Tamandua tetradactyla: one gene and its partners. The main gene of each other region encodes a partner of the protein of the gene in region 2 in a complex. Links are inferred from orthologs where the notes say so. Each region holds a gene or a part of one and is shown on either strand. Other genes may lie near its edges.

Region 1 (8,029 bases), on a different chromosome or scaffold from region 2:
ATCTTGAAAGCTTCCGGTTCACCACGCCAAAAATTTGCAATGCAACAATGCATTGACAGTTAAACAGAGCATTCAAAGACTATTTAGTACAGTATCTACAAAATGTGACGTGGGTCTCTCGGGTTTTCGTTTTGTTTTTAAGTCCTTCAAGCTGCTAAGTGGGGCTTTTTTGTTTGCTCGCTTGTGTTTTAAACATCGGTTAGTAGCTTGCTCTTATTAACGCAGTTTTGATTAGCCGTGGTGCAATTGCCAGTTCTGATATTGGCCTGTCTATAATGGGTTATGCTATTATTCATATCCTCTTCGATCTCCATGTACTCAGACTTGCTGATAGTAGAGGAACTGCGGCGACTGAGGTCGCTGTCAGAGGCTAAATTAGGGGAGCTAACGTGGAGCAGCTGAGCCTGCTCTTCCCCCTCAGTTTCTCGGTGGTAGAAATAGTTGAAATTGGACACAATGACAGGTACGGGCAGGGCAATTGTCAGCACACCAGCGATGGCACACAAGGAGCCCACGATCTTGCCTCCAATTGTCACAGGGTACATGTCACCGTATCCTACAGTGGTCATGGACACCACCGCCCACCAGAAAGCATCGGGGATGCTGGAGAAGTGAGACTCAGCTTCTTCCGCTTCGGCAAAGTACACTGCGCTAGAAAACAGTATGACCCCGATGAAGAGGAAAAAGATGAGCAGCCCTAGCTCTCTCATACTAGCCTTGAGGGTCTGGCCCAGGATCTGGAGGCCCTTAGAGTGGCGGGAGAGTTTGAAGATTCTAAAAACTCTTACCAACCGGATGACCCTGAGGATGGCCAGGGAAGTGGCCTGCTCGCCTTTCTGGTTTCCCTCCTGCTCGGCTATCTCTGTGCCCAGGGTGATGAAGTAGGGGATAATGGCCACAATGTCGATGAAGTTCATGATGTTCTTGAAGAAGTCCGTCTTGCTGGGGCAGGCGAAGAAGCGCACCACCAGCTCGAAGGAGAACCAGATGATACACAGGGTCTCCACTATGAAGAAGGGGTCCGTGAAGATGTTGGAGGTGTAAACGACTGTGGTGTTGTCGAGGCGGTGGATCGTTCCCGTGAAGTCCTTGTCATCCTTCAGCTCGGGGAGAGTCTCCAGGCAAAAAATGACGATGGAGATGAGGATGACCATGACCGAGACAATGGCGATGACCCGGGCCGGCCCGGAGCTCTCCGGGTACTCGAAGAGCAGCCACACCTGGCGCTGGTACTCCTTCTCCGGCAGGGGGCGCTCCTCCTCTTTAATGAAGCCCTCGTCCTCCCGGAACTTCTCCATGGCCTCCTCACCTAGCTCGTAAAATTTGATCTCCTCGGAGAACATGTCCAGCGGCACGTTGACCGGCCTCCGCAGGCGGCCCCCGGACTGGTAGTAGTAGAGGATGGCGTCGAAGCTGGGCCGGTTGCGGTCGAAGAAGTACTCGTTCCTCAGGGGGTCGAAGTAGCGCATGCGTTTCTTGGGATTCCCCAGGAGCGTGTTGGGGAACTGAGCCAGGGTCTTGAGCTGCGTTTCGAAGCGGAGCCCGGAGATGTTGATCACCACGCGTTCGCAACATTCGTGGTCATCGTGGTCTGCCGGCCGGGGGTAGTTGCCGTCTTGGGGGTGGCCCGGGGCGGCCGAAGCCTCGTCCACGTTCTCTCCAGACACCACCGTCATGTCTGAAGCCGGGTGGAGGGGTGAGAGGCCAGGAGAGAGCCCGGGGTGGGAAAGGGCCAGAGAGGAAGGGTGGGGGGGACCCAAGCGGCCCCCCCACCGGAGTGCGCGTCTCCCCCACGCTCGGGGGCGGGGAGGAGGCCTTCAAGGCTAGGAGGTTAAGAGATCTGGGTCTTCGCTGCCGCTGGCCCTCCACCACGCTTTCCACTCAATTTGGAATCCCCCTCGCCTGGGGCCCCCGATGCAGATTTTTGCCCGGGGTTGTTTTTTTTCTACTTCTTCCTTCTCCGAGGCGCCTTAACGCAGCGCTATTCTAGCGGGTCGGGCCATCGTTTCGAGGGTCACCCTGGCCTCCCCGCCCCTCCGGGAGCCCTCCTAGGACCGGGTGCAGTGCCAGCTCAGCAGATCCCCACGCCTGCCACCCCCTCTGCTTCTCCTCGGCTCTCCCCCCTCCTACCCCTCTTCGCCTGCCGCCTTCTAAGCTCCCACCAGGGCGATCGATGGACGCTGCAGAGAAATAGAAAGTGATACGGGGGTAGAAAATCAGAAGCATTCAGATGGGACGGATCTACAGACACCGAAGAGCACAGACCTCTAGCTATTTTAGACAGCACTGGACCTTTGCTAGGGTTGTCGCATGCACACAAACGGACACACACGCAGACACCCAGAAATCCAAGTTTGGGGCTCTTTTATCCCACTTTCCCCAACACCCCGCAGCCGATCCGTTGACAACTTCGTTCAACTAGAGATCGGAAACGCGCCGAGAGACAGCGAGGGAGCTCCGGATCCCAGCCACATCCCCACACCCGGGCGTCCCCCACCCCGGCACCCCCCGCTGTTGCAGCCCCAAACTGGGAACCCCCTACCTGGCGGGCCGGCTTGGCGCAGGGGCGGTGCTGAGTCGGCGGAGAGCCCGAGTGGGAATGCGGCAGGTCGCCTTTGCAGTACCCGGGAGCGAGTAGCGGCTACCGCCGCCGCAGCAGCATCGGAGAGGAGCCGGGGCACGCTCGCTGCCCTCGTCCCCTCTTCCTTGGCTCCCCTCAGTAGGACAATCGCTTTACTGAGCTGCCGCGGCGGAAATGTCCCCCCATTCTCTCCGGTTGTCAACAATCTGGAGACGCCGTTCTCTCTCCGGTGCAGGGAGTCCCGGAGGATGCGGGCGGAAAAGCAAACTGCCACCCTCTCGCGAAGCTCTGAAGCAAATGACGATAAACAGTGCTCTCGCCCCCTCCTAACGCTGTGGGAGCCCTAGATTCGATCCCGAAGGAGGCAGGCGGCGGGCGAGCGGGCGAGAGCATGGATCTACATGATTCTCGGGTTCCTTGCACTCCCCGCACCCCAGCTTCAACCTCGCGGCGGCTACGCGGCGCGTCCCGGGGCTTCAGGAGCTCAGAGTGGAGCCCGGTGCGTGCCGCGGCGGGTCCGCTCGGTCCATTTCTGGGCGCTGCAAGATCAGCAGAAACCTGAGAAAGCGCCTCGCATGCGGAGCAGCGATTGGCCCACCAGGGCGTGGGTTGGGGAGGGCGGGGGAGGGCAGGAGCGAGGAGGTAGATGGAAAATATGAGGGGGTGGTTTGGCAGAGGGGGGTTGTCATTCAGTTCCCACCCTTGCCAGCACAGCTTTTTCCTTCTCCTATCAGAAAAGCCGACCACCAGCTCTGCTTTTCTGGAGGTTCACAGGCCCCGCACACACCCGGTCCCCCGGCCGGGGGATTTCACACTGGAAATGGTCAGGTCCGACGCAATGCAGGCGGTGGTGTCTCTGGCAAAACTCCTCGGATGGGTTTACATTTGTGCAGTCCCACAATAATCCGCTTCGATCGCAACGCTCAGAGCGTCATCCCGCCCCTCCCGCAGAGGGCTCTCGGCAGGGCAGAGTCAGCGTCTCCCCGCGGGACTGGAAGGGATGCAGAGTTTGACAGAGCACTGCAGTTGAATCACCTGCGTTTATTCAGTTTAGTGTTCCCGGGAGGCGGGGGTGCTCACGGTATGCCCCTCTGTGACCCGCGACGGGAGTTAAAGTTTTCTTACCATCAGATTATTTTGAAACGCAGAAAACATGACTTGTGGGAGACCGAAAGCTCTGTGGGTTTGTGGGGTTGTCTGCCAACTTGGTGCTAATTGGGACGAATACTGAGAAGCATGCCGCCAGCCCACCTCCCACCCGACGGATCTCCTCCCCCAGCCTCTTTCCTGGGTCTAAAGTCTCCCCAGGGCCACAAGCAAGGCTTGCAGTTGCTTCTTCGGGGTAAGGTTCCCACCGAGGCTCAGGCAGCACGAGCCGGAGGCGTGCGCGGTGCTCCCGGAGTGCGGCTCATCCCGCGCCCCCACAGGCATTGCGCCTCCGCGCCTGCAGCGCGAAAGAAGGCAGCCAGCAGCTCCGGTACTTCAGCTGCGGCGGAATCTCTACGCATGCTGTTAAGAACCCGGAGTCGCCAGTGATTGGTTCCTCCGGATGAACCGGGACCGCCCCTTCGCACAACCAGAGTTCTTGCCTGGCGCCTACACCACCCACCTCTTTAATCAAAGCCAACGATTGCATCCACTCCGCTGTATTGTGGCTAGTGGAAAGCAGGGGCCTCTGCGGGCAGCCCAGGCAGTGCAACAACCCCGGGCACAGAACTAGTTAAGTACCCCCTCCAGATGCATACCCCAGCATTCCTTTCAGAAAAATTAAAGTATTTGTTCCCTGCCGTCCTCCGTTTCCATACCGCAGCTTTTCTGTTATGAACAGTGAGCGCTCTCATACTTCTTTCCTTATTTGATGCTGCTTTTTTCTCACCTTCCACACACATATCCGTCTATCCCAGTAACTCCACGCTTCCTTAACTTTCTGCACTGCTGCTTTATTGCCAAAAATAGAGAAATAAAGCATGAAATTCCATGTCGAAATACCATCAAATCCCGTGTGCTGTTTGCTGCTGCTGCTGCTGCTGCTGCTGCAGTTAGAATCCTATTGGAGATATCCCTGGTAGCCATGAGAAACATTTTCTGTGTCCCAACAACACCCGCCTTCCCTGTTTTCCTCTTTCTACCCTGCTCTGCCTGCAGCCTCTTTCCTTGCCTTTAAACTCTGGTTAGATTGCCATCTTCCCCACCTCCGTGCAATTGCACTTGCCCTGATTCAGCATTTAAAGATCACCTTACTAGAAGAGATTCACAGACTAGATGGGGTCCCAGGTTCCTAAACTCAGCGTTTTATTAGGAGGTTGAATAGATCAGTGGTGTTCACATTCCTGGCCTATGTGTTTAGAGTAGGGTCGGAACTCCAAGAATTAGAAGAAAGTTGTTGAGCTAGGAATCCAGTACTCTTGATGCAAGTCCACCCTTGGCGAGGGACAGAAGATATTTATGCATCCAACAAATATGTGCTCAGCCCAAGCCTTGCCCCAGCCATTGTTCTAGCACTGGAAATACAGTCATAACAAAACACACAGTGTCCTAAACCTCTTGGAGCTCACTTGCTGGTGGGAGAGGCAGACAATAAACGAATAAACCGAGTATTATAGCATTAGGTAAAAGAAATTCAGAAAAGGGGATGGACAGTGACAAGTACGGATGTGCCTGGATAGGAGAGGCTTCTCTGCAACAGTAAGGTGAGCGGAGAACCTCCACATTTGAGCAGGGAGAGCAAGGAATGGGAAGATCAGGATAGAGGTAAGAGCAGATGCTACTAAGCTACTAAGACGAAGACAAGCTCAGCAGATTCAGGAAACTGAAGGGAGTCAAAATGGCTAGGAAGGCAGGACCAAAGGAGAGTGTTGTAAAGGGGGAGCTCAGAAAGGTAGGCAGGAACCATATCCCAAAGGCTTCTTAGGCCATGGTCAGAATGTTGCTTTTTTATTCTGACTGTAAGGAAAAGACATTGGAGAACTGGGATCAATGTAATAATATAATATGATCTGCATTTTTGGAAGGTGATTTTGGCTTGCCAGGAGCAAGGCACCAAGTTGGAGTCTCTTAAGTAGTATAGGCAATGAAAGCGTAAGCTAGGGAGACAGTGGGGAGGCTGTGAGAAGTGGTTGGAATAGGACTACATTTTGAAAGTTAAGATGGAAGGACTTTGGGTGTAAGGGAAAGAAGTTTCAAGAATGTCTCCCAGCATTCCAGTCTGAGTAACTAAGTGAATCGTATAGTCACGGAAGCATGGGCTCGATAGAATGCATGCCCCATGAGATATGGGACCTTGTGTGTCTTAGTTATTGATGTATTGGACAGTTTAAACATCTTCTCAGAGTCCCTCACCTTCATCATGTCACCTGTTCTTGCCTCGGCTGCTCCTGAGACAACCAACTCTGCGTGGGCTGAGGTCAAGTGGGCAGCAAATTAGTAGAATCTGTCTTCCTCAAGGTTGTAGAAAGGGCAGATGAGCAACAGGGAAGTACAGAGGCATTAGCTCTTTGTGAGATGAAATTCAACCACCTTAGGAGCTGAGGCGCTCAGGAAATAGGACAGAGCCAGAAGATACATCCTATTTCCCTTTGTCCCTCTCAGGAACCAGCACACACATATTCTATGATTGGGGCTGTGTGTCTCTGTGGCTCATGAAGCAGTGGCCAATTTGGGAACTCACCACCTTGCAGTCATGCCCATCCTCCCCTTTATCTTCACTCTGGCTGCCTTGGATTGTACCTTCCATTAAAGCATTAGCACATAGATCCTATCTCAGGGTCTCTTTCCTAGTGAACCTGAGCTGAGGCAAAAAGAATCAAAACTTCTGGTTGTGACATGTTAACTTGGATATATCTGTTAAATATCCAAATGAAAACGTTGAGTAGATGATGAGTCTAAAGTTCAGAGAAGAGGTCTGAGTTGATTAGGGTTTTCAGCTTCAGCACTGTTGGATTGCATAATTCTTTTTGTGGGAGCTCTCCTGGGCATTTTAGGATCTTTACAGCACCCTTGGCCTCTACCTACTAGATACCTCTAGCACCTCCCTCAGTTGTGACAACCAAAACTGGTTCTAGATATTGCCAAATGTCCTCTGGGAGTCAAAATCACCCCAGCTGAGAACCACTGAGGTAGATGGTGGTTAAGCCAGAGTCCTGGAGGGGAGCACTTGGACAGGAGGGTAGACAGAGAAGAGGAATGCTCAGATTGTGCCTTGGGATACTCCAGTAAAGTTAGGAGGCCAATAAAAGAAGGAAGAGCCAGCAAACGAGACCAAGAAAGGGTAACCAAAGGGCTAAGCAAACCAGGAGGAGATGGGTTCTGTGAAGCCAGAAGAAAGTAGTGTTGATTTTGTTGTTGTTTAATTTTTCATTTTTAAATAGTTTCAAGCTTACAGGACAGCTAAAAAATAATATACCTTCCATACAGACAACTTCCACATACTCCTATGTGCACCCCCGATACCCAGATCCAACAATTCTAACATTTTGTTACATTTGTCTTATTCTAGCTATTCATCATTTTAGCAATCCTATCTCTCCAGCTGTCTGTCTGTTAACATAAATCCACTTTCTGAACATTTGAATGTGGGTTGTATACAATAGTACTCCTTAACACAGAATGCTACCGTGTCATTTTCCTAAGAACAAGGAGATTCACTCATGCATCCACCTTAGGCGCAGTTATCAACATTGATATAAAGCTTTCAATCTATAATCTACTTTTTTCATATATCTCAATAGTGTCCTTTTCAAAAGCCTTCTCTCCTTCCCTATTACGTCCCACCCAGGATTATGCATCATCTTTAACTGCATTGTCCCTTTAGTTGCTCCTCAAAGGACGCTGTTAAGAAAATGCAAAGGCAGTGCAAGCTATGGATTGGGAGAAGATACTCACAATACATATATCTGACAAAGGACTTAGGCTCAGACATGTTAAAAAACTCTAACAACTCAAGAAGAAGAAGAAAAACAGCACAGTAAAAACAGAGAAAAGGTCTGAATAAACACTTCACAAAGAGAACATACTATCTAATTACATTTACATGTAATTTAAAATAAGCAAACATAAATCAGCAGTTTCCTGGTGTCGGGGATGAGAATGTGGACTGCAAGGGGGCACACAGGCATGTGTGGGGAGGATGGAAATGCTCCACCTTGATTGGGTAGTTGTTGCAGGTGTGTATAAATTAATCAAAACTCATATTATTGCACATTCAGAACGGGTACATTTTATTGTATATAAATCATACTGCATTTTTTAAAAATACTCATGGTCAAAGAGCAAATGCCATACACTGAACTGAAAGAAGAAGTTTAGACATTTTGGTATCTTTCCAAGAGCTTAACCTGTGATCTTTTCTTAAAGAAATTGTTCTGAATTGTTATGAATTGAATTACGTCCCTCACAAAGATATTTTCAGGTCCTAACTCCCAGTCCTACAGCTCAAACAGCCTATAGATG
Region 2 (7,035 bases):
GGGAGTGAGGCATGGCCTCACAGCATCCTCCTGGAGGGACCCTCAGGGTGAAACCAGGTCGAGGGCTGTCCCAGGGGAAGCAGCACAGGTGACTGGGGGACTCGGCATGGCGGCAGGGACCTTGCCTGCTGCCTGAACATACTCTAGTATGGCCAGGCCAGGGGACTGCAGCCCCCATGCTAGGTGGCCACCACCTGAGGAAAGCTCCCTGGCTTCGTAAGCCTCGTGAAGGACAGCACCGTCCACGCAGTCTCTGCCCAGGTAAAGCATCATTGCCGTGGCAGAGCCCACTGGACTCCATGCTCTAAGATAACCAAATATGTCACAATCCTTAAGCTTCTGCAAAGAAAGACTGAGCAGAATGAACAGGAGTGCCGGGGCTGCCTGGGAAGGAGTTAAGCTGGGATGGGAACTTTCAAAGCTTAAGTGGTAAGAACCACACCAAATAGATGGTCATCCTAAATAACTACCCTTGGAAACTAAAACCCAGATAAATGTCCATTGACCATCCACACAACGGAAATGTGCCCAGTCGTCAGGCCTCTCGGGGTGGGCTGATTGGCAGGGAACCCCAAAAGAGGGGGTGGGTTAAAACAAAGGCACAGAGAGAAATGAGACAAAATAAAGTGTCAGTGGCTGAGAAATTTCAAAAAGAATCGAGAGGTTATCCTGGAGGTTCTTATGCATTATGTAGATATCCCCTTTTTAGTTAAGGTGTATTAGAGAGGCTGGAGGGAAGTGCCTGAAACTGTAGAGCTGTGTTCCAGTAGCCATGTTTCTTGAGGATGATTGTATAATGATACAGATTTTGCAGTATGACTGTGTGACTGTGAAAACCTTGTGTCTGATGCTCCTCTTACCTATGGTATGGACAGAGGAGTAAAAAATATGGATAAGAAATACACAAATAATAGGGGGAAAAGTTAAAATAAATTGAGTAGATTGAAATACTAGTGGTCAATGAGAGGGAGGAATAAGGGTATAGCAGGTATGAGTTTTTCCTTTTTTATTTCTTTTGCTGGAGAGATGCAAATGTTAAAAAAAATGATCTTGGTGTGAGTACACAACTATGTGATCATATTGTGAGCCACTGATTTGAACCATGTCAAGAATGTTTGTATGTTTGTTGTTTATAATAAAAATATTAAAAAAAACAAAACATCGCAAAGGCACAGGGAAAAAGTTACCATTTGTGCTCATTTTGGCACTTACAGGAGAGTGTGTAAGGCTCAAGTGGACACTTAGAGATGAGTGTGTAGATATTCATTCAGGTACTTACAGATGAGCATGTAAATGCTTATTTGGGTATCTGGAGATGAGTGTATAAATACTCATTCAGGTATGTATAGATGAGAGTGCAAATGTTCACTCAGGTACACAGAGATGAGTGTGTAAATGCTCATTCAGGCACCGAGAGATGACTCTGTAAAGTTCATCCAGGCACTTGCTGATGAGTGTGCAAATGCTCACCTGGGCACTTACAGATGAGTGTGTGAATGTCCACCCAGGTATGTACAGATGAGCATGTAGAGATGAGTGTGTAAATGTTCACGAGGGCAATTACAGCTGAGTGTGTCAATACTCATTTGTGCGCTCACAGATGTGTGCAGATGCTCACCTGGGCCCCTGCAGATGAGTGTGTAAATGAATGCTGCACCGTGGCCATGGACATCCAAGCCTTGGAGTGTATTTGGCCAGCCAACAAAGACCTGGTTGTGGGGGCAGAGCAGGCTGCCAATCCAGGGACCCCACCAGCACTGCACTGCACCCCCAGCCTCGACCCAACAGTTCCACAAAGCCCACGAAGCAGGGGGGGAGCTCAGACGTGGAGCTGCTGCTGCAGCTGGGTTGGCCGCAGAGGGGTCCCGGAGGCCTGGGCTGGAAAGGGAGCAGCACTGCCCCACACTTCGGCACATGCAGCGACAAGCCCTAGCAGCCAGGGAGGGGGCTGCGAGGGCTGTCTGGGGGGCTGTCTCAGGGCTGAGGGTGGCACTGCCCTGGAGGTGCCCTAGGCTGGCCCCTCTTCAGGTGAGCTCTACAGGCTCAGCTCTGCTGGGCCTCCTTCACAGGCCAGAGCAGGGCCCCCAGGCTGGGAGTCTGGGCTGAGTCCAGGGAGTCTGGAGGCTGAGGTGGGGTGGGCCGAGCTGACCTTTTTGCACTCTGGTCTGAGGGGAGGGACTGTCCCAAGGAGCCTCGGGGCTTCAGGGGTTTCCAGACCAGTCTGTCTGTTTGTCTCTTGCCTCCTGGGCCTGCAGAGTGGAGACGTCCTTCCTGTCCCCCTTGACCCTGCCGGGCCTGGGGCCTGGCTCACAGCAGGGGCCCAGAAATACTTGTTGAAGAGCACCCAACTGAGGCGGGGAAGGTGGGCTTGGGGTAAGAAACTAGTGAGCAAGGAGATGCTAAGGGCCCCTTCCAGGGGAAGAGGGGAGCCGTGCACCTGCCACCCCGGGCCAGGGCTGGACGATCTGGAGGCAAATCCTCACTTCCCCAGGTGTCTATGCTTAGAGACGATGCCAGCTGCGGGGCTCTTCCCGGAGAGCCGGGACCAGCCCAGACATGCGCTTCCTCAGCCAGGCATAGCCGGGCCGAGATCAATAGCCATTAGCTCTCAAGGTATTGACCACAAGGAACCCCCCAGGTCTGGCTGGCTCTGGAAACACATCCCGGGCCCAGGTGGTGGGTGGGTGGGTGTGGCTCAGCACCCGGGTTCTGGACTGGCAGCCCTGTCTCCAGCTCTCAGTGTAGCTCTAGCAAGCACCCGGGCCACTGCAGACCTCAGTGTTCACATCTGTGAAGTGGGCTGAGCAGAGGCCCGTTGCTAAAGGCTGCCGTGAGGATGCCCTGAGGCTGGGCACGTGGTGGCTGTGCAGCCGGGACCCCGAAACTCCCCCCAAGGCTGGTGCCACGAGGGGTGGGGAGGCTGTCTGGGGGCTGGCAGGTGGCCCCCTGGGGGTGCTGCGTGAGCTGGGGCTTGAATGACGGGCGAGCCAGGCAGAAGGCAAACCTCGCTAGAAAATGCTTAGTATGAGGAGATACAGATATTCCTGACGGCTCCTGCCTCGCAAGAATACTGAGATGGGCCGTGGGTGAGGGTTGGAGATGGGGGCTGGGGGGGACAAGGGCGGGAGCAGGAAGGAATGGCCCCCATGTGGCTGAGACTGAGGGGCTGCAGGCCCCCTGCCTGAGGGCTCCTTCAGGCGCATTCGTGGCCCTGGGAGCAGGTCTGTGGGCTGGGCCACCTGCGACATGGTGGCCTCCGAGATCCTGCCTGGGATGGACCCCAGGTGCCTGGGAGCAGGCCTCGGCTGAGAAGAAATGGGGTGTGGGGTGAGCGCGGCCCCCCACCAGGGAGGGAGAGTGAAGCGAGCAGCAGAGCAGAGGCCTGGCACCTGGAGTGGCTCTGAAGGTCAAGGCCCACAAAACACGCATCTGCATAAGAATCGGGGGTGGGGGTCAAGGGAGAGGGCGGAGGGGCGTGCGCGGATGGCAGAGGGCACTCAGAGGGTCACGGGGGCTACCCTGGACTATTTGGGTGGGAGAAGGCAGAGCCCAGCTTCCCTGGACTCGGAGATCCTTCCTCCCGCTGGGGCTCTGTTCTGGGAGGGGGGCCCTTGCAGGGCACCTGCCTCGGGCCCCTGGCAGCTCCAGAGCTCCAAAGTGCAGGAGCACCAGCCCCTGATTCCCAGTTTCCGGGCACTTCCCGCCATCCTGCCCCTGGCCTCCAGAAACTTCAACCCCTACCCCAACAGCTGTTGCTAATTATGTGGTACCTACACGTTCTTTCCTGCAAGGGGCCTGCCTTTTGCAAATCTATTCCTGTAGATTAGGGGGCTCCGGGGAATTCACAAAAATTAGCACCATGACGTGAGAAAATGAAACCAAGACATTAGCCTCATTAAATCGGTAGGAGCAGCTACCACCCTTAAGAGCGCGGTGCCTGGAATTCCTTAATTGTGGTCCATTCACTGCAAGTCACCTGGCCGTCAATAAAGCACAAGACCGAGGAGGAATTCAAACGACGACATCTGCTTTGAATTTAGAGAAAGGAGCAAAAGTCCTTGAGAGCAGAAACACAAGGGGAAGCTGTGTCATTCCGGAATGCAGCTCTACAATGCACGGCAGCGCGTTAATGCACGACCAAAATCGTTTTTCGCCCAAGATGGCTCAGCAAACCCAGGCCCGATCGAGCAGCACCCCCGCCTCCCAGGCATGTGGTTTCCTAGACTTCTCAGACAGCAGGCAAGCCTCCCTGACAGCGTTCTCAGGAAAACTCAGAAATGCAGAATCTCAATCAATTGTGAACCCGACAAGAGATGAGCCAGATACCTGTGTGGCTCCAACAGACGGGAAAACAGACATGAAGCCAGCCACCAGCCCTTGGCAGTTCGGGAGGCAAGCACGCCCAAGCAGGAGATCAGCAGCGGCCAGTGCTGCCAGGCCAGCAGCCCGCCCCTTTCCTCCAGCACTCACCTCCAACGTACCTACAGCTGCTTGGTTTTTTTTTTTTTTGAGGTTTTCTGCTATGAAAATGTAGAGGGTCTAATTCCCGAACAGCCAAAAGCATCCCCAAACACCATCTCCTCTGCTACTGCAGCTCCCAGGGATGACAGCACCCAAGCAGCGTTCCCACCCCAGGGGCGGAAGGAGAGACTCACCTGCTGCCTTGGGCTTCTGCACATTAAAAGGACAGAGGCTAGTTCAGGCTCGCCAGATGCTCTAAGGATCTGGCGCAGCGGAGCTTTCATTAGGGGAGTGTCACTGCAGGACGTCAGAAACAACTGGTGAATGAGACGGGTCCCACAAGGGCTGAGTTTTGAGTCGGTGAGTCCATTAGCTCTATTAGGGCGTTTGCATCTCGCTGAAAGAGGCTGAATTATTCAGGAGTGCCTCTTTCCCTAAAAGCCTGCGAAGTGCAGTTCTGCGGGCCAGCTCTGGGATGCAGGGTCGCAGTCTGGCTGCAGGGTGGGGGTGGGGGGCCGCGGCTGGGGACTTTCCCTTCCTGCAGGCACGAATGGTCCCATTGTCTCCCCCCAACCCTACTCCAGCGAGCCAGCAGACCCCCAGAGCAGCAAGAGGAAGGGGTAGTCGGTGCTACCTGCCCCAAGTTCCACTCAGGAGGGCCAGGTGTGTGTGGGGGGACAGAGAGCTTGCAGCTTCCCGCACCACCCCCCAATTCCTAGCTATGTCTGTAGCAGGTGAGCCACTGTCCCCACATTGGTGACTGCCCCCCATGGCTTCCGTCTTGGGGTGCCAAGAGAGGCTCAGCATAGCATCGACTTCTGGTGGAAAAAGTGCACCAGTGCACGTGGGATTTGGAGGAAGGCTGAGCTGTCTGTACTGTGGCAAACCCACAGACCTCAGCAGGGGACACCTTGGGGGGTGGGGGTGGAAAATTGTTACTCCAGCCCTGGAGTAGGACGTTAACTAAAGGGGGAGGCTGCGGGAGGCCCAGGGCCCGGAGGTGACTAGACACAGGCCATCATCTGTAAGGGCCGCGAACGTCAGCTCCCCGGTATCTGCCACTTGTCAGCTTCTGTGGGTGGGGTGTGGGCAAGGGTGGGTGGTCATCAGCCAACGTGCTCTGAACGCAGCCCGCCTCCCTCCCCCGGGCCAGCTGCTCCTCTGCTAGTGGGGCCTCCTTCTCAGCCTCCGCATGTCTGAGCCCCTCCGCCTCCGCGCATCCGTTGCCAAGCCCTATGGACTCAGCTTCTGATGTCTTTTTCTCATCTACTTGTACCGCTTTGTTCCCAAATCTCCTGCTAGTTTGGGCCTCCTCCTCTACTCTTGGCTGTTTTCTGGCCTCCTTACATCCATCATTCTTTCCCCCAACCCATCTTACTCCCTGTTTATGGCAGAGGTCTGGTCACTGTCCTGCTCAAACACCATCGATGGCTCCCCAGTGTCCACTATATGAAGTCCAAGGTCCTTTGCTTGGTATGCAAGGCCCTCACCAACATGACCTGATCTCTCATTATGCTCCCTCATGTCCCCGACAGCCCAGTCCACAACCACATCCCGTTCTCTGTCCACACCTCCGTTTTGTGCCTTAGGCTGTTGCACCTACTGGAATGTTCTTCCCAGTCTCTGGGCTGAATCCTGCCCAGCCTTCAAGGTCCAGCTCAGGACCATGCCACCTTCTCCATGAAGCCCTCCCTGCCTCCTCAGTGGACTAAGACCACTCCTCATCTGAACCCAGGCAGCTCTTTGGACTTCTCCCACCCTGTTTTGCATTCTAGATACCATGAGAGCTCTCTGGGTTTCAGGGCAGGTTGTGTTATCTCTCCTGGTCCTGGTCCTGGTCCCCTCTCTGCATCTGTGAGCCTCACCTCCTGACCCCAGCTCCTCCCGCTGACGGGACGAGTCTATTTTCCTGCATGGCCATGGTCACTTGCTTTGGCTCAGAGAAGGTAAGAGAGTGGCAGTGTACCAGCTCTCAGTGTGGGCCTCGAGAGGCGCTGCCTGCTTCCACCTCTCCTGTGTGCTGCGGCTGCCTGCGGAGGATGCACCTGGGAGAGCCGCTGCCTGGAAAGCTGGGGGGGCCGGGGGAATGGCTGGCCCCAACCAACCGCTTGGACACGAGCCCAGGGGCAGCACAGGAGATGTGGGACTTGGCTCTCTAACAGAGCTCGCCCCTGTGCAGAGAATGCTTTGCACTCTGGGTTGAGAGGGTACTTCCAGGAGGCTCCCGGAGGGGAGGGCGATGGGCTGGGTGTGAGGGTCCTGCGGGCTGGGAGTGGTACCAAGCGAGTGGGACTGCTTTCCCTTCAACGCGCTTTACCCGATGCCTGGCTCCACCCTCCTGCGAGTTCTCTGCACCTGGGGTTTTTCTGCCTGCCTGTCACCCTCTCTCCACTCCTGCTGGGGAACAGGGAATGCTGTCTGCGGGTGCCTTCGGGTGCTAGCTTGCATTCACTGGTCAGGTCTCAGGACGAATGCCATACCTTAAGATAAACACTTCATCCCAGGAAAGGATTCACAAGGCCAAGTTCACATCTATTTCAGGTAAAATCTTACAGAGCCAAAAATCCAGGGTCA
Region 3 (8,077 bases), on a different chromosome or scaffold from region 2:
CCAGCGCAGGGAGCTCAGGGTGCTGTTGAAGGCTCCAGGAAATGCAGAAGCATTGGCCTGGGCTCCTCTGGAGAGCCCAGTGGCTCTCTGAGAGCTGGAGAGACAGCCTTGCTTGGCTGAAAGACAGAGACAATTAAGGGCATGAGACCACTCAGCGCTGGCAGCCCAACCTGGGTTGCTTTTTGTTTCCGCTCTCTAAGCCAAGAGTTCAGAAACATGACTACCACCATCATAAAAAGGCAAAATTTACTTTTTTCGGGGGGGAGGGGGAGAATCAGAGGGGAGCAGATAGCAGTGTCTCAAGGAAGCAGTGGAATGCCCTGCACTGAGAAAAGGTGGCTGGTACAGGACCCTTCTTCACTGTCCAGGCTTCACAGAAGCCTAAGCCCATCCTAGAAGACTAGAGGGAGCCCTACCCCAGGCACTGAAGTAATGTCTTACAAATACCTGCACCCTGGGAGGCCTTCACGGCTGGGGATCTTGACCCTGGGTCTCCCTCATTACCCCCACCCCAACGACTCTACACATTGCTGTTTTTAAACAGCAGATTGATTTACCTGACAAGGCAGGAATCTGAAGCTCTCTTTCTGCAAGAGTTGATCAGAGGCTGCAGGAATCCTAAATATACAAACAGGCAACCCAACTCCCCATCACGTCTTCTCGCCCGAGCTAGAAATAATGGTGAGTCATCCTGGGCAGGAGGGCAGGCTCCAGGTCCTGGAGGTGAGCTCCAGGGTTTGGCTGGGTTGGAGGGGTGGTGGGGAGCCTGGCCAGGGGCCTGCGGGACTTGGGGACAGAAGAGCTTGGGTCTGGAGCCTTTGGAAGGAAGGAGGCAAGATACAAAGCTCAGCAAAAGCTGGAGTCCTCCGGGCTGTCCTCAGGAGGTGTGACGTTGCCTGGAAGAAACAGCAGTAAGGTGGGACCAGGGTTTCTGGGGAGCTGGTGCCAAGATTTAAGAGGGCTCTGGCAGCTGCCCTTACTGAAGGGGACAGTCCCCCATGCTCACCTGCCATTGGAGTACCACTCCTGAGAACTACCCCTCAAGCTTCCCATCAACTTGAAACTATTCTCCCCAGGAAAAATCCTGCAGGCTTGGCTGGGCCTGTCTCCTCCAGGGGCCTCTCTGGGGCTGAGCCAGATCCCCAAGTCCTCAGATGCCATCAGGAGGGACTCTGGGCAAAGCGTTATTCCTCCTCCTCCTGCCAGGACACAGCATCTCCCAAGGGGAGGGCTGTGCTCACTGCAGCCAGATTACAGCTTTGACCTCCACCAGACCCTGGGAGAAGCAGCAATTCCCCCATCGCCTTCAGAGTTCAACTAGGAAGACTCCACACCCCCCAAGGCTGCCTCTGTCGGAAAGCTAGCCGGGTCCCTGGACTTACTCTCTGCCGGGGACCCCTGGGCCGCAGGCCTCCTTCCAGCCGGGGTGGCATTTGAGCCGGGCAGACACTCAACTACTGATTTTTCCCCCAAGAGAAAATCCCTCGCAAGTCCTCGGCAGGGAGCGCAGAACAAACGCTCAGTCTGCCTGACTGCGGAGCGGTACCTCGGCAGCCGCGAGAGGGAGAACCTGAAGCAAGCCTGCTTCCGGGCTGGCCTACTGCCCGCCCAATCCCGCCGGTCCCAAATCAGGGAGGGGTCTGAGCCCTCTCCCCATCGCCCCGGGCTCGGGCCGGGATTCCTCCCGGCGCATTCCCCGCTCCGCTCAGCCTGGACCATCCTGCTTGCCGCGGCGACAGGCACCCCCTTAACCCTCTCCTGCCCGGCCCCGCCAGTTCCTGCTGCGGGCCGGAACGCCCCCGAGGGACCACCGCGGGTCCATCTCCACCCGGAAACACCGGAGCCTGAACTCTGGGTGTGGGAGGTGGGTTGCCCTGCGCGGTTTGCCCCAGATCTCAGCTTCCCCCTAAGCGCGGGGGCTCCGCCGGCAGCTCACGGCCCTAGGGAAAGGAACCAGCCTTTCTGGGCAGCAAAGTCGTTTTTATTCAGTGCCCGACAGGCGAAAGCAGCCCGGCCGTCCCAAGTGATTGAGATCTTACCAACCGGCCCTATTTACCAGACATGGTTATGCTGTCAGCTGCACTCCCCTCACCGGCCAGCGCCTCTACGTGCCCTCCGTCCCGTGTCACGCACACCCCAGAGGGTCCCCGAGCCCCTTTCGTGCATTCTTCTTCCGCAGGGCGCAAGCCCCCCTCTCCAGCCCCGGCCCCGGAACCCGCCGATCAGAGAGCGGTGGTCGGTACCGGCTCGCCCTCCCGGGCCTTAGCCCGAACCCTCCACCCTGCAGGCTGCGCCTCCCAGCGCCCCGCAGCCCCTCTTGGCGCCGCAGCCCGGGCAGGGGGAGGCAGCACGCGCAGCGAAACGCCGACACCGATTTACCCTTCCGGATAGGCACTCGGAGCCTCCATGTTCGTGGTTTATGGCAAGCACCGGCTGAACTGCGGCTGCGGGCGACCGCGGTGGGGGTGCCGGCGGCCAGCCGGGAGCCGGCTCTGCAGTCCCGCGGGCGGCGCGTACAGAGCGCCCGGCCGCCGCCCGCAGCTGCACCGCGCTGCACCGCGCCACGCAGCGCCGCACCTGGCCCGCCAGTGAACTGGAATTAAAGGGGCCGGCGGGTGCCAAAGCTGGCCACCCAGTTGGTGCCCCCGAGCCTCGGCTCCCACGTCACGAAGAAAGCACCCCATTCTTTGGCAGAGCCCAGGTTACTAACCAGAACCTCTTGGAGAGCTCAGTTGGGTGCTGCCGTGGCCGGGGAACGGGCGGCCGGAGAGATGGAAGGGGCAGAAGTTGAGAAGCGCCCCTGAGGCTCCTGCTAACATAAAGAAGTAGGCAAGGAGGAAACAATCAATAGCAGCTATCCCAGGCCCGAGGAGGGATCCAGCCCCGCGGGAGATGTGTTGCTATTATTACGAGACTGCCAGGCAGGATCTGCAGATCCTCCCCTGGCCTCTCTCGCCGGCGCGCCCCCTCCTCCAGCTCTGCCTCCCCACCTACCCCTTACCCAGCCGAAGCCTTGGCTTCGAAGGGGAATGCAGCAGGTGCAGCCGCAGTGTGGCAGAAACTCGCTGCCACATTCGCCCCCCACCGGGAGGAGTCGCTGTTGGAACAAACAGCACTGCAGAGCCGGCCTTCTGGGCTGGCTTCCCTAACCCCAGGATCAGGGCCAGAAAGTAGGAGTACATGTGGCTGCCCTTTGTGAGGACCAGCTACTCCCAGGATGCGCCCCCTCTCAGACTTTACAAAACCAGCTGGCCTACCGGGCTCTGAAATCAAGAGGGGAGCTCACACCACCCTGGGGTGGGCAGAGAAGGATACCCTTTGCTCTTGGAAAAATGTGTGTGGGTAGCCCAGCCTGCCCTCTGCTAAGATCCAGGGGTGCTCCCGGGGTGCACATGATGGCCCCAGGCCATGGGATCCAAACTGGTTTCTTTGGCTCAGACTCTGCTGGAGGCACATGCTCTGGATTCTGAGGGGGCTGTGGTAGGGGAAGTCTCCTACTGGGTGCTCTCTGCTCAGGGAACCCTCATATCTATGCTTCTACCTAGTGACGGAAGCACTGAGGCCCCATAGGAGCTCAGGACAAGGCCCAGCCCTTGACTCACTGGCCTCTGATGGATTCCAGCATTTCGAAGAGGGTAGTCTTATAAGACGTGACTTAAGAAGTAAGGGCAGTCTGGGAGAGCAGTGAGCTCATGCTGCTATGGGGGATGACAGGGTTGGTTTAGAGCCCCTTGAAGCGGGGCCATTAATTGGCCCAGCCAAACTAGGCCCTGGGGATGTTTGGGAGTCAGCCAGACCCTGACTTAAATCTTTGCCAATTACTAGGCAAGTCAATTCAATTCTCTAGGCCTCAGAATCTCCATCTGCAAAATGAGAATACCTCCCGGGGTTATGGTATGTAAAATGTTTAGCACCCAACAGACACTCAATAATAAAGGATGGTTTCTCTACTATGCTTCCCTAGGAAATTCCCCTCATGACTTGAGTCTCCAGCTTAGCTTTCTGCTATTCCTCTACGTGCCCAGCTGCTGGGTCTCTGTAACTCCATTCTCTCTGCTTCCCAGTGAGGGTAGCTGGCCCTACCCCTCATCCTTCCTGAGGTCTGAGCCATTCCCATCCCTCTCCCCACGGTGTCCTCCAGAACCCTGCTCCTCACTGTGATGCTACTTACCACACTGGGTCCTCATGGCAGTTATGGTTCCTCCATTCATGTCCCTATATCTTATTTTTCCCTCTTTTGTTAAAACCAAAGATGTGGACAGACAAAAGCTCTTGAGGGAGAATGAACAGTCATGCTAATTGGTGACAAGGGCTCGCCAGGGTCAGACGCTGTGCAGAGCAGCTCTGCCCCCACGTGACATTTTATCCTCACAGCTCTAGGAGGCAGTTTCTACATTAGCACTATTTCACAGGAGGGACACTGAGGCAGAGAGAGGGGATGTGACCTGTCCGGGGTCACCTGACGACTAAGTGGTGGTAAAGTAGAGTAAAAGTCAGAGCATCTGACTAGGGGTGTAGTCTGGCTTTAGTCTTATCATGCAGCCGTGGACATGGAGCTGTGTGACCCTAGGTCACTCACTTGAACTTGCTGTGCAACGGTTTTCTTGTAAAATAGGAAGGAGAGCACTTACCCCAACCTCCCTTGCTTCATAGTGTTTAAAGAGAGAGAGGGAGGGAGAAAGGAAAAAGGAAGGAAACTAACAGTCAAGGTTTTTGTGTATTAAAGTCTCATTGTTAGGATCAAAGAGGATAATGCCTGTGAATATGCTTGGAAAAGCCAAAAGCTTGGCCAGTGTGTGAAAGGATCATTTCTGTGGTTACAGTGTCAAGTAATGCGCATCATGCCCGCTATAGCAACATGAGAGAACTTCTCCTGGAAGTGAAATGAGTGGCTCCATCTCCCTCCTTCTGTAAGGGCTTATACTTTGAGTCAGAAGTCAAGGTCTGTTTCTCACAGGGAGGCTTCCAAGATTAATTCTAGCTATCTCCAAGGGGATATATGGAGACCTGGGCTTTGGCTCCCATCCTGAAGTGCTGTTTTTAAATTGACTGCTATACTCTCCCACTCTACTCTATATAGTGGCCAAATGAAAAGAACATTTTAAGGAATGGGTAAAGGGGATAGGCCCGGTGGTGGATGGGAGCTGTATATTTCCCACAAAAACATGTTTTTACTCTTACTCCAAAATTGGGGCTGTGAACACATTGCAAGTAGGACCTTTCGAGGAGGTTACTTCAGCTAAACTGTGGTCCAACCCAAGAAGAATGGGTCTGAATCCTTTCACTGCCATCCTTTATGAGCAGAATGAAATTCAGATCGAAAGAGAGAAAGCAATAGTAAGCAAGAAGCTGAAATTCAATAGAAACTGAAAGAGAACTGAGAGGCCAGGAGACACCTCAATGTGTCTCACCATGGGACAGAGGAGCCAGGACCTAGGACCACTGGCTGTCAGCCCCACAGTGTAGGTCTGGGAAGAAAACATTGCCTTGATGAAGTCTTGATTCAGTTTCTCTTAGCCTCAAACACTTGAGCTCATAAATCCCCATTGTTTACGCCAGCCCACTATATGCTATTGGCTTGAGTAGCTAAAGAAAGGAAAACGGACCCTCCCTGAGATTTTGGAGTTGCTACTCTGTGTCAGTCGTGTATTGGTTGCCTTGAAATCAGGCCCATTGCCATTAACACCCAAAGGCAGTATAGCATAGTGGCTGAAGGACAGACAGCCCCTGGCGCCAGGACGCCTAGGGCCTAATCCCAGCTCCGCTACATTTTTTTGGGGCTGTGAGATACTTTCTTCAAATATAAGTTTTTATTGTGTGGTTGGCATGGAAAACACTTAGAACACTTCCAAGCCCACAGTATGCACTCAATAAGGATCAGCTATCATCATCATCGGCCATCCTTGCTACCACGGCTGCCTTCTCTATTAGCAATGGAAGTGCGAATCATCTGTGATGAGAGCAGATACTTTTGTGTGTCCTGGGCCGTGGGCCTTGGAGCACCTGTCATTTCAGCTGTCCCGTGGAAGATGGTTCTCAAGGGCGCTGGCAGTGTTCCGCCTCCATCACTGTGTGAATCAGGACTCTTTCTGAAGCCATCCTGGCCCACTCAGGCTGCCCACGGTGACCTGGATGCTGGGGGAGGCAAATCTAAATGATCCAGCCTTCCGTCTATGTGAGAGACAACTCATGTTCTACAGCCAGTCCCCGGATGGAGCTCACTGATATGGAATCCCAGATGCCAACCATGGTAACCCACTCAAGGCGATGAGCCCCATGTTCTAGGGCAGGACAAAGGGGGCTCCACCCAGTTTCTTGGACCTGTGCTCCAAGTAGCTGAGCTGGCTTCACCGGCCTGGCTCCCTGGGTCCAGCCCAGGCCTCTCTCCTGTGCCTCAGACTCATCAGTTTCACCTCCCAGGCCTGCTTCTCTCTCACGTACCTCTTAAAGTGAAAGACGTTGCCCGTCATGGCTTGCCCAAACCAGGAGTCCCTCTCAGTTCTCTCTCACCTCCCCCAAACGTCACATCTAGTCAATCACTCGGCCTTCACATCTATTTGTGTCCCTGTGATCCCTGTCCCCCCCGCCACATACACACTAGTGCCACCCTGGTTCAAGCCGTCATCACGCTTGCCTGGGCCATTTCACCCTTACTGGTCCCCCTGCCTCCAGACGAGCTCCCTCTGGTCTCTTCTCCCACAATTTCTACCGTGACTTTCTAAACTACAAATCAGATAATGTCACTTACCCCTTAAACTCTTCAGTGGCTCCCCACTGCTATGATGCCACCATGTTTCCTAAAAGGCAAGAAAAGCCCTTCAAGATTTGACTTCCCTCTGTCCCCAGTCCTAGAAGTCTATATGGCATCACATGGAACGGCCTCCAAGGTTCTAAACTGGCTTGAAGTAGGTGGATTAAGTCTAGACCTGAATTCAGACTGACCTGGGGTGGAGTCCCGGCCCTGCTGCCTGCCTCTCGAGGGACCTCAGCTGGGGTGCTTTTCCTGTCTGACTCTCAGGTTCCACATCTGTAAAACGGGAGTCATGTACCTAAATGCTTGCTCTGCAGAGTAAAGGAGATAAAGTATACCAGGTGTTTCTCTCAGTGCCTGACCTGCAGGAAGGGCTCAAGAAACGTGAGCTTCCAGAAGGTTCCAGGTCTTCCTGCTTTGGCTCCAGCAGTCCTCTCAGCCAGAATCCCCTGCTACCTTCCTGCCTCTCTGCCCTCTTAGCCCTGCAACAACTCCTCTTCTGACATGCAATTCGTGTCCCATTCTCCCTGAGCCTGGATCTCCCCCCACCGACGCAATGTTGCACGGTACCCAGGACACAGGTCCATCACCACGGTAAGTCTGATGAGGCCCGACTCTGTCTCCACCTTCAGGGCAGGGGCTTGTCAGTTCCGCATTTGTATTTCAGTGTCTGGTGCAGGCCCGGCCCAGAACACCTGCTCTGTGTTTATGGACCCTCCAAACACCAGGCAGCTGTATGGTCTCTGTGATGTTCCCACAGGCTTAACTGCCTCCCTCCCTCCTGCCTTTCAGGTCCCTACCCTCGACTTTTCTGAAAGGCCCCTGCTACTGAAAACCCCTGCATCACCACAGGGCCAGGCGGGGGCTGCTCCTGACTCTCGCCAAACAGGCTGGAAGGGGCCAAGAAGGAAGGCTGGCGTTGCATCAGCACCACCAGGGATGTATCAGAGGATAGCCCAGCTGGGAGGTTATTCCTCAAGGTGGGACTGTAGCCCCTCTGTTTCACAGAGAGGCTGAATACTTTGCTCAACGTCACACAGCTAGCCCAGGAAAGAGACAGAACTTAAACTCAGGCACTGTGGCTCCAGAAGGCCTGCTCTTAACCATCCCACTGCATACTCTCATAGCACCGAATATTCAGGGATGCTGTGGGCTGGACTTGTGCTCTCCCAAGACCCATCATCTATCCAGTCCCCTGCAGGCTATAGCGGCTTGTGTGCACCTCCCACCCTCTAGCTCCTGTCTGGGTCAGGCCAGAGGTAGTGTAAGTGGAAGCTTCCAGGCTGGTGTAGTCCATAGAGATTATCTTGTCCACCTATACCCTTG
Region 4 (7,102 bases), on a different chromosome or scaffold from region 2:
CGTGGATCTTGATTATTATTTAATAGAGGAAGTCTGAGGGTCCCATGTAGTAAAGTTTCAGGTGCGCTGATTAAATCTGTCATTTGCTTATATACAGAACACTTCTAGATTTGCTTTTTAATTTCATCTGTTGACTTGAAACTTCTTGGAGAAAAAAAAAGAAGAGACGCTTCTTCTTAAATTATTGCCTAATAATTGGCATTTAATTGAAATCATGCCTTATTGTGGTTTATAGCTAACATTCTCAAGATGTTCTTTTCCTTTTTGATTCAGTCATTTAAAAAAAAAAGAACTTTGCGAGTCAGTTTACCTTCTTAGATTCTCAGGCTTAACTTTGTGCGGTTTATTCAAACAGTGGTTTTCCTTGTGAAATCATGTAAGTAGAACCATCTGGAAAGGTTACTGTGGAAACGGCAGGGACTGGGATAGGATGGGGGGGCTACAAAGCAAGAGATGCCATGACAACCTTTTTCGGGTTTCCCAGGAAACATGAGTTGCTATGGGAACTGCATCAGTCAGGTCTGAATTAGAAACTTCCGCTGGAAGCGGTGTCTGCCACTTTAATCTTTTTGTGATTCTGCAAGATCTTCTCTCTCAGATGCATTAGGAAATATTTTGTCTCTCTCAGCAGTACAGAAGACATCTGTTTCTAGATTCTGATAGATGCTAGCTGGGACACATGCACGGAACTTCTTCACGGGGAATTAACTGTTAGTCTTGGTTTCAAAATGCTTCTCCAGCCCCAAAGAGTTAAACTAATTAGTCAGATCAGGACATCTGGGGCATTTCCCTTTGTTCAAAGTTGTACAGACAGTTAACATTCCAGGGGTAACTAATCAGTCAGATCAGGACATCTTGGGGATTTTCTTTTGCTCAAAGTTGTAGAGACACTTAAAATTCCAGGGGTGGGGGTTTCAAATAGAAATTCCAGTCAAAACCCAAATAAACTTATGGTGGGTTTTCAAGTCTGTTCAATTACATCTACACAGGGTAGGTAACTGAACTCAAAAGTAAATACTAATGTAGACTGATGTATCATTTAGTATTTGTCTCCTTTACTTAGTAAAAAAATTGCCTTTTAATTTTGAGGTTAAAGTTATCTAACTGCCCTTTAGTTTCATTTCCCCCCAGGATGTACTTCATTTTTTTTTAAACAGGGTGTGTACTAGAAACCAAGTTTAAAGTAAGTCTGTAGTCTCAATAGTGAGAGAGAGAGAAGAAAGAGGAGAGCTGAGAGAACGCAGCCCACTTGCAAACCAGACACCTGTTTCAGTATGAAGCAGTAAGGAGAGGGCAAATGAAGTGTGCTTTCCACCTCTTCATGTTCTTTCTTTGATGAATGGTCTGAAAATGTATAAAACAAGGGCATACACAGACCAAGGGGGCACGTTCCACACAATGCTGAGCACAGTATGTCACTCGTGGCACATATTAAACATCGGTGAATATCTTTTTGATGTTGACACAGGAGTTGGGATTATTGTTTGCGGCGCAAGTGGCCGTGGAGTTGCCCGTTTTGAAAGGGGTCTGGAGGAAGGAGCTATGGTTCATACCCCCCTCTTCGATCACCATATACTCCGACTTACTCAGAGTCGAGTTACTCCTGGCTTTTCGGAGCTCCTCGGCTGAAGGGGAGAGGTGCTGGCAACTTCCCACGTGCATGTATTGGGCTTGCTCTTCGCCTTCTGTCTCCCGGTGGTAGAAGTAATTGAAGTTGGAAACAATCACAGGAACTGGCAAGGCGATGGTTAAGACACCAGCGATTGCACAGAGCGAGCCCACAATCTTGCCCCCTATGGTCACTGGGTGCATATCACCGTAACCTACTGTTGTCATGGTTACCACTGCCCACCAGAAGGCATCAGGAATACTGCTGAAACCCGAAGTGGGGTCGTCTGCCTCGGCAAAGTAGACCGCGCTGGAGAAGAGGATGACCCCAATGAAGAGGAAAAAGATAAGCAACCCTAACTCCCTCATGGAAGCCTTCAGCGTCTGCCCCAGGATCTGCAGCCCCTTGGAATGGCGAGAGAGCTTGAAGATGCGGAAGACCCTCACCAGGCGGATGACCCTCAGGATGGCCAGGGACATGGCCTGCTGTCCATTGCCTTGTCGCTCAGCCAGCTCGGTGCCCAGAGTGATGAAATAAGGGATGATGGCCACGATGTCTATCAGGTTCATGATATTGCGAGAAAAGGTGGCTTTGCTGGGGCAAGCGAAGAACCGCACCAGCAGTTCAAAGGAGAACCAGATGATGCACAGGGTCTCCACCACGAAGAAGGGATCCGAGAAGCTGGAGGCTCCCGCGGCGGCCCCCGACGTGCTGTTGCTGGCCGACTCGAAAAGGTCCTGCGACGACGAGGCGGGGTAGTCCTTCTCGTCACGGAACTCCGGCAGCGTCTCCAGGCAGAAGATGACAATGGAGATGAGGATGACGAGCACGGACACGATGGCGATGCCCCGGGCCGGCCCGGAGCTCTCCGGGTACTCGAACAGCAGCCACACCTGGCGCTGAAAGTCGCGGCGGGGCAGGGGCCGCTCCTCCTCCCGCAGGAAGCCCTCGTCCTCGCGGAACTTCTCCATGGCCTCCTCGCCCAGCTGGTAGAAGCGGATCTCCTCGGAGAAGATGTCGATGGGCACGTTGACCGGCCGGCGGATGCGGCCCCCGGACTGATAGTAGTAGAGGATGGCGTCGAAGCTGGGCCGGTTGCGGTCGAAGAAGTACTCGTTGCGGAGCGGGTCGAAGTACCTCATGCGCCGCTTGGGGTCGCCGAGCAGCGTCTCCGGGAACTGGCAGAGGGTCTTGAGCTGCGTCTCGAAGCGCAGCCCCGAGATGTTGATCACCACGCGCTCCCCGCAGCAGTCCTGCTCGCCGGCGGCCGGCAGCGCGGGCGGCAGCGGCTCGTAGCGGTCGCAGCCGCCGCCGCCGCCCTGAGGCGGGCCCCCGCCGCCGTCAGCCGCCTCGGGCTCCAGCAGGTGGTCCCCGGGCACCACGGTCATGTCGGGCGGCAGCTCGCGGCCGGCGGCGGGCTCGGCGTAGCCGGGGTTCACCAGGGTGTGGGCGCCGCCGCCGCCGCCCGCCGGACGCTGAGGTGGGTGGGCGCGGTGGCGGGCAGAGGGCGGCGGGGAGCGCAGGAGGCTGAGGTGCTCGTCCATGCGGCGCGGAAGCGGCGGCGGCGCCTCCGGCGGGGCCGCGTCGCTCCTCCTCGCGCTCCCCGCCCCCTTCGCCCCCGCCCCCGAACCGAGCCCGCCGCCTGTTGCCAGTTAGCGCCGCCGCTGCGAGGCTGTCTGGGTCTGGCGCGTCCGCGGGGCTCCTCAAATCAGACGCCTCCTCCCCCTCCGCCCTCTCCCCCCCGCCCTCTCCCCCTCCGCCCTCTCTCCCCTCCGCCCGCGCGCGCCCGCCGGCCCCTCCGCGTCCCCTCAGGATTCCCGCCCACCGGGCGGGTGCGCGCCCCGCTCCCCCGGGAGCCGCTGGCCTGGCTTCTCAGTATTCCAGACGCGCCCTCGTTCTGCACCTGGGTAAACCCCCGCAGCCCTCGCTGCCAGCCAGCGCGGCCCGTGGGGAATTTGGTCACTGGGTCCCGGGCCCTCGGCTCGACCCGCCCTCCCCGCTCGCGTGGCCGCGTCCGGGTCGCCGGGCTTCTCGGCGCGCGCGGGTCCCACGCCTCGGCCGGGGGCTTCTCGCCGCGGCCCCGGGAGCGCCCGGCCTTCTCGCCCTCCACACGCCACCTGGGCCTTCTCGGAAGGGGCGGGGGCCGCGGAGCCCAGGGCGCGGGAGGCGAGGAGGGCCGACGTCTGTGTGCTCCGGGCGCGGCGCCGTGGAGAGGGAGAGCGGCAGCCCAGGTGGGCGCCCGGAGAGGCAAGCCTGGGGCCAGCATTTTGAGCTCACTGGAGGGTAGAACTGTCAGGCGGGAAGGGCTCTAAATTATTTAGCTCTTGCTTGGACGAGTAGCTGGAGAGAGGAATGGGTAATGATGGGGTTCGCACCCGGACTGTGAAGAAAATGGGTCATTAAAGGGGTCCAGGGACCTCGCCTCTGCAGTGAATAGTTCACGCTAACTTCGTCGCTGAGATCTCAGCCATTGCGAAGAATCAGGGATAAGTCTTTAGTTGGGCTTGAGCACCCTCCTCTTTTTAAACAGTGGGATATCCTGTCGGTGGGGAAATTAGAGGAAAATGGGAAAGGGAATTCACCACGTCTCATCTGTGTGGTTTTCTTACTGTAACTAAGGCTGAAGTCTGCCGTGGGAGGGAGGGGAGCCGGACCTCTACCTCTTAGACTCTACTTAATGCTCTACCACTGCCCTTGTGGTAGGGAATCTGCCGCACTCTAGTTGTTAAACTGGGAGAAAGCCCGCTCTCCAACTTCAGCCAGCCTCTGTTGCTTAATTTTAGCCCAGAGATAATAACGTATATGTATTCTCTTTGAACTTAAACTATGACTCCAAATTGTTGTGACTACTCTCGGCACGATTTCTGTTTCTAGACATTTTAGCAACTCCAATTTAGAGTTGACAATAGGCTTAAAAATGTGTCTTCTATCGGGTCATTCAAATCATTTACAAAAGAGGAAATGTTGTGTAGACAACTCCTTCACCCATCTGATATTAGCTGGCAATTTTATATGCATTAGGAGGGATTCGTAGTCATTCTTTTCTACCCCACTCCTAACTATGAGGTCTTTTAGGGCAAAGACTAGGTCTTACCCAATTTATATTCCTAGCAACTATGTGAAGTACTGGTGAGTAGGAACTCCATGTGTTTGATGAAATGAATTCCCCAACAAATGGTTCTTTGCATTTCTGTCTGCTCCAGACTCTACATTTCTTTTTCCAACCCCAGAATCCTGCTGGGATTCCTGGGGTGGGGAGTGGGAGGAAACTGAGCTCATAATACAGTACACTGCTCAGTTATTCCATTTCCATCTCTGGCTCTTCTGGGTATAAGCACCCAGAAATAAATAATGTTCTTTATTGTTCGTTCGTCTTCCTCTTCCCCTCCAGATCACTGCTGGGCACTGCAAGGAGTTTGCATATATAATAAGATGGTAAAAGTGGGCAGCCGTGTAAAATACTCTCCCACAAAACTCCAGAGCACACCACTATTTTATATATATATTGAGTTGGCAATTAGGGTAGCAGTATAAGCATTCATATATTTAAATCTAAGAACGAGATAGACTGTTTGCTGCGAGGATAGTTCATAGAAAGACAAGACCCTATTTTTTGAAGACCAAATGCTTAACACACTTCTTTGCTGACTTAGAAGTGATTTATTCTTCTTTTTTTGCAGGAATTAGTAATGAAATTAATATTAATCAATGGCTAGGAACACCAGAGCAGAGGATGGTTCTGTGATGGATGTTCTGTCACCAGCTGCTCCCTGCTGTGAAGTGTCTCTCCTTCAGAAATGGATTACTTCTTTTCCTTTCGTGTATTTGCCTTGTCTGGAAGACTTGGATTATGAGTTTCTTTCATAGTCTTTATTTGTGAGGCCCAGAGAGGTTTAACAACTTGTTCAAGTTCACACAGCTAGGCACTGGCAAAGCCGGGTCTAAACTTTTGGACCATTTTCAAATCCAACGTTTGTTCTACTGTATCATACTGTGAAACTCTTATGTTGATCACTGTGAGTGCTTAATAAATACTAGGTTTCTAACAGCAGCCCTTTTGCTTCTGATTACCGACTATTTCACTTCAATTCATATTTATTTTAAATGAAAATCATTGCCTTCTGACAGCCAGTATATTGTCTACAGGAAATAAGTTGGTGTGCACATTCCAGCCCTGTTGGACAGCAGAGCCCATCACAACAAATGAGTGTCAAAAATGGCACTTCAGGAGGAACACATACCATTTATTTAGCACCCCCAAGTGAGTAGCTCAAAGTGATTGGGAAATGTCTCATTAATCTTCATGACACCCCTGTGGGGTAATAATACCATTATTATAATGTTTAAGCGTATAACTATGGCAAAGCCAGCAGCATCACCGAGCATGTGCAGGATTTCTCATATTTCAGTCTTTGCTATTAAGGCCCAAGTAAAACCATCAGGTTTGCATACAATAAAAATGACCCTTGGTGTTTGGGCTTTTGTGTTGCTTTAGACCTAGCTTGGGTTTCTTACTGACCAGAACAGTACTAGAAATAGCTCACCAGTTGCTTGCCAGATGGTAAACAGCATCTGGAATTAGTCAGAAGTGTTTGAGAGTAGTATGAGGCAGGCTTACGGATCACCACTAATCCACAGTTATAGATAAATGGAAAAAGAACATCTTTATTGTTCTCAGTACTGTGGGGGTATGAAATTTGAACATGGACCTTGCTTTCAGTAGGCTTGGGTAGAATTGTGGAAGCAGGATATAAATCCATAAATTCATGAAAATTTTTACAACATTATTAGTTAACAATGCAAGACCAGAGTGTCACAAGACAATGTATTACTTTTTGGACTGTTCTAGCCAAGCTGGCTGCCTAGCAGTTTCTCAATAATACCAAGCTGTTTCCCTCTGCAAGGTCTTTGTACTTGCTCTTCTCTCTGCCTAAGACACTCTTCCTCTAGATTTTACATGGCTCTTTCCATCACTTTAGGTCTCTGTTCAAACTGTCACTCATTAGAGATATTTCCCTGACCACAACCACTCGATTTCAAATAGCTGCTTTTCTCTTTTGGTAAATTCCTGGCCTCTTGCCTACTTTGTCTTTCTTCATTGCATATGTTTACATGTAATTACATGATATATTTATTTGGTTACGTGTTTCTTTACTGTCACTTACAATAGGAAAGAAAAAAAAGCGTGACTGTATCAAAGCAGGATTTTGTGTTCACTTCTGTATTCCCAGCATCTAGCACAGTGCCTGGCACATAGTAGATGCTTAGTTAATATTTATTGAATGGAAGAAAGAAAAGGCACATAGCAGTGAAAACACAAGCCACATGAAGGAACAGTGAGTGAAGGAGTTTTGCTGGTGTATAGGGGTCATGTTGGAGAGGTATCTGTCCAGTTCTGGTTCCCTTTCATAAAACCAGCTGGGCTGTGTTTTTTGTTAAGGTTTGCTTTTTGTTAAGGTTTACAATAATGAAGGATTGCTTTTTAAATTGCCA

The links.
Region 1: the proteins of KCNAB2 (region 2) and KCNA1 are in contact, whole or in part, in a crystal structure (PDB 1EXB), measured with the Rattus norvegicus proteins. The link is inferred for Tamandua tetradactyla from reciprocal best matches to the Homo sapiens genes KCNAB2 and KCNA1. Residues at the interface, in NP_059000.1 of Rattus norvegicus: Met196, Tyr199, Ser200, Arg203, Glu231, Lys235, Ile236; in NP_775118.1 of Rattus norvegicus: Glu37, Met70, Phe73, Asp74, Pro75, Leu76, Asn78, Tyr80.
Region 3: the proteins of KCNAB2 (region 2) and KCNA2 are in contact, whole or in part, in a crystal structure (PDB 5WIE), measured with the Rattus norvegicus proteins. The link is inferred for Tamandua tetradactyla from reciprocal best matches to the Homo sapiens genes KCNAB2 and KCNA2. Residues at the interface, in NP_059000.1 of Rattus norvegicus: Met193, Met196, Tyr199, Ser200, Arg203, Glu231, His234, Lys235, Ile236; in NP_037102.1 of Rattus norvegicus: Asp28, Glu33, Pro62, Met66, Phe69, Asp70, Pro71, Leu72, Arg73, Asn74, Tyr76.
Region 4: the proteins of KCNAB2 (region 2) and KCNA3 are in contact, whole or in part, in a cryo-EM structure (PDB 7EJ2), measured with the Homo sapiens proteins. The link is inferred for Tamandua tetradactyla from reciprocal best matches to the Homo sapiens genes KCNAB2 and KCNA3. Residues at the interface, in NP_001186789.1 of Homo sapiens: Met196, Tyr199, Ser200, Arg203, Glu231, His234, Lys235, Ile236; in NP_002223.3 of Homo sapiens: Pro133, Met137, Phe140, Pro142, Leu143, Asn145, Tyr147.

What each region holds. Positions count from the first base shown.
Region 1 is NC_135333.1:67,200,693-67,208,721, reverse strand, and holds the start of KCNA1 (potassium voltage-gated channel subfamily A member 1), read right to left. Parts: upstream 3,108-8,029; 5' UTR 2,543-3,107; intron 2,181-2,542; 5' UTR 1,677-2,180; coding exon 189-1,676; 3' UTR 1-188. UniProt on the Homo sapiens protein: Voltage-gated potassium channel that mediates transmembrane potassium transport in excitable membranes, primarily in the brain and the central nervous system, but also in the kidney.
Region 2 is NC_135328.1:219,376,666-219,383,700, forward strand, and holds the start of KCNAB2 (voltage-gated potassium channel subunit beta-2), read right to left. Parts: upstream 3,012-7,035; 5' UTR 1-3,011.
Region 3 is NC_135337.1:11,968,157-11,976,233, reverse strand, and holds the start of KCNA2 (potassium voltage-gated channel subfamily A member 2), read right to left. Parts: upstream 3,066-8,077; 5' UTR 3,002-3,065; intron 2,488-3,001; exon of another isoform or gene 2,380-2,487; intron 897-2,379; 5' UTR 558-896; intron 117-557; 5' UTR 1-116. UniProt on the Homo sapiens protein: Voltage-gated potassium channel that mediates transmembrane potassium transport in excitable membranes, primarily in the brain and the central nervous system, but also in the cardiovascular system.
Region 4 is NC_135337.1:11,903,342-11,910,443, reverse strand, and holds the start of KCNA3 (potassium voltage-gated channel subfamily A member 3), read right to left. Parts: upstream 3,154-7,102; coding exon 1,432-3,153; 3' UTR 1-1,431.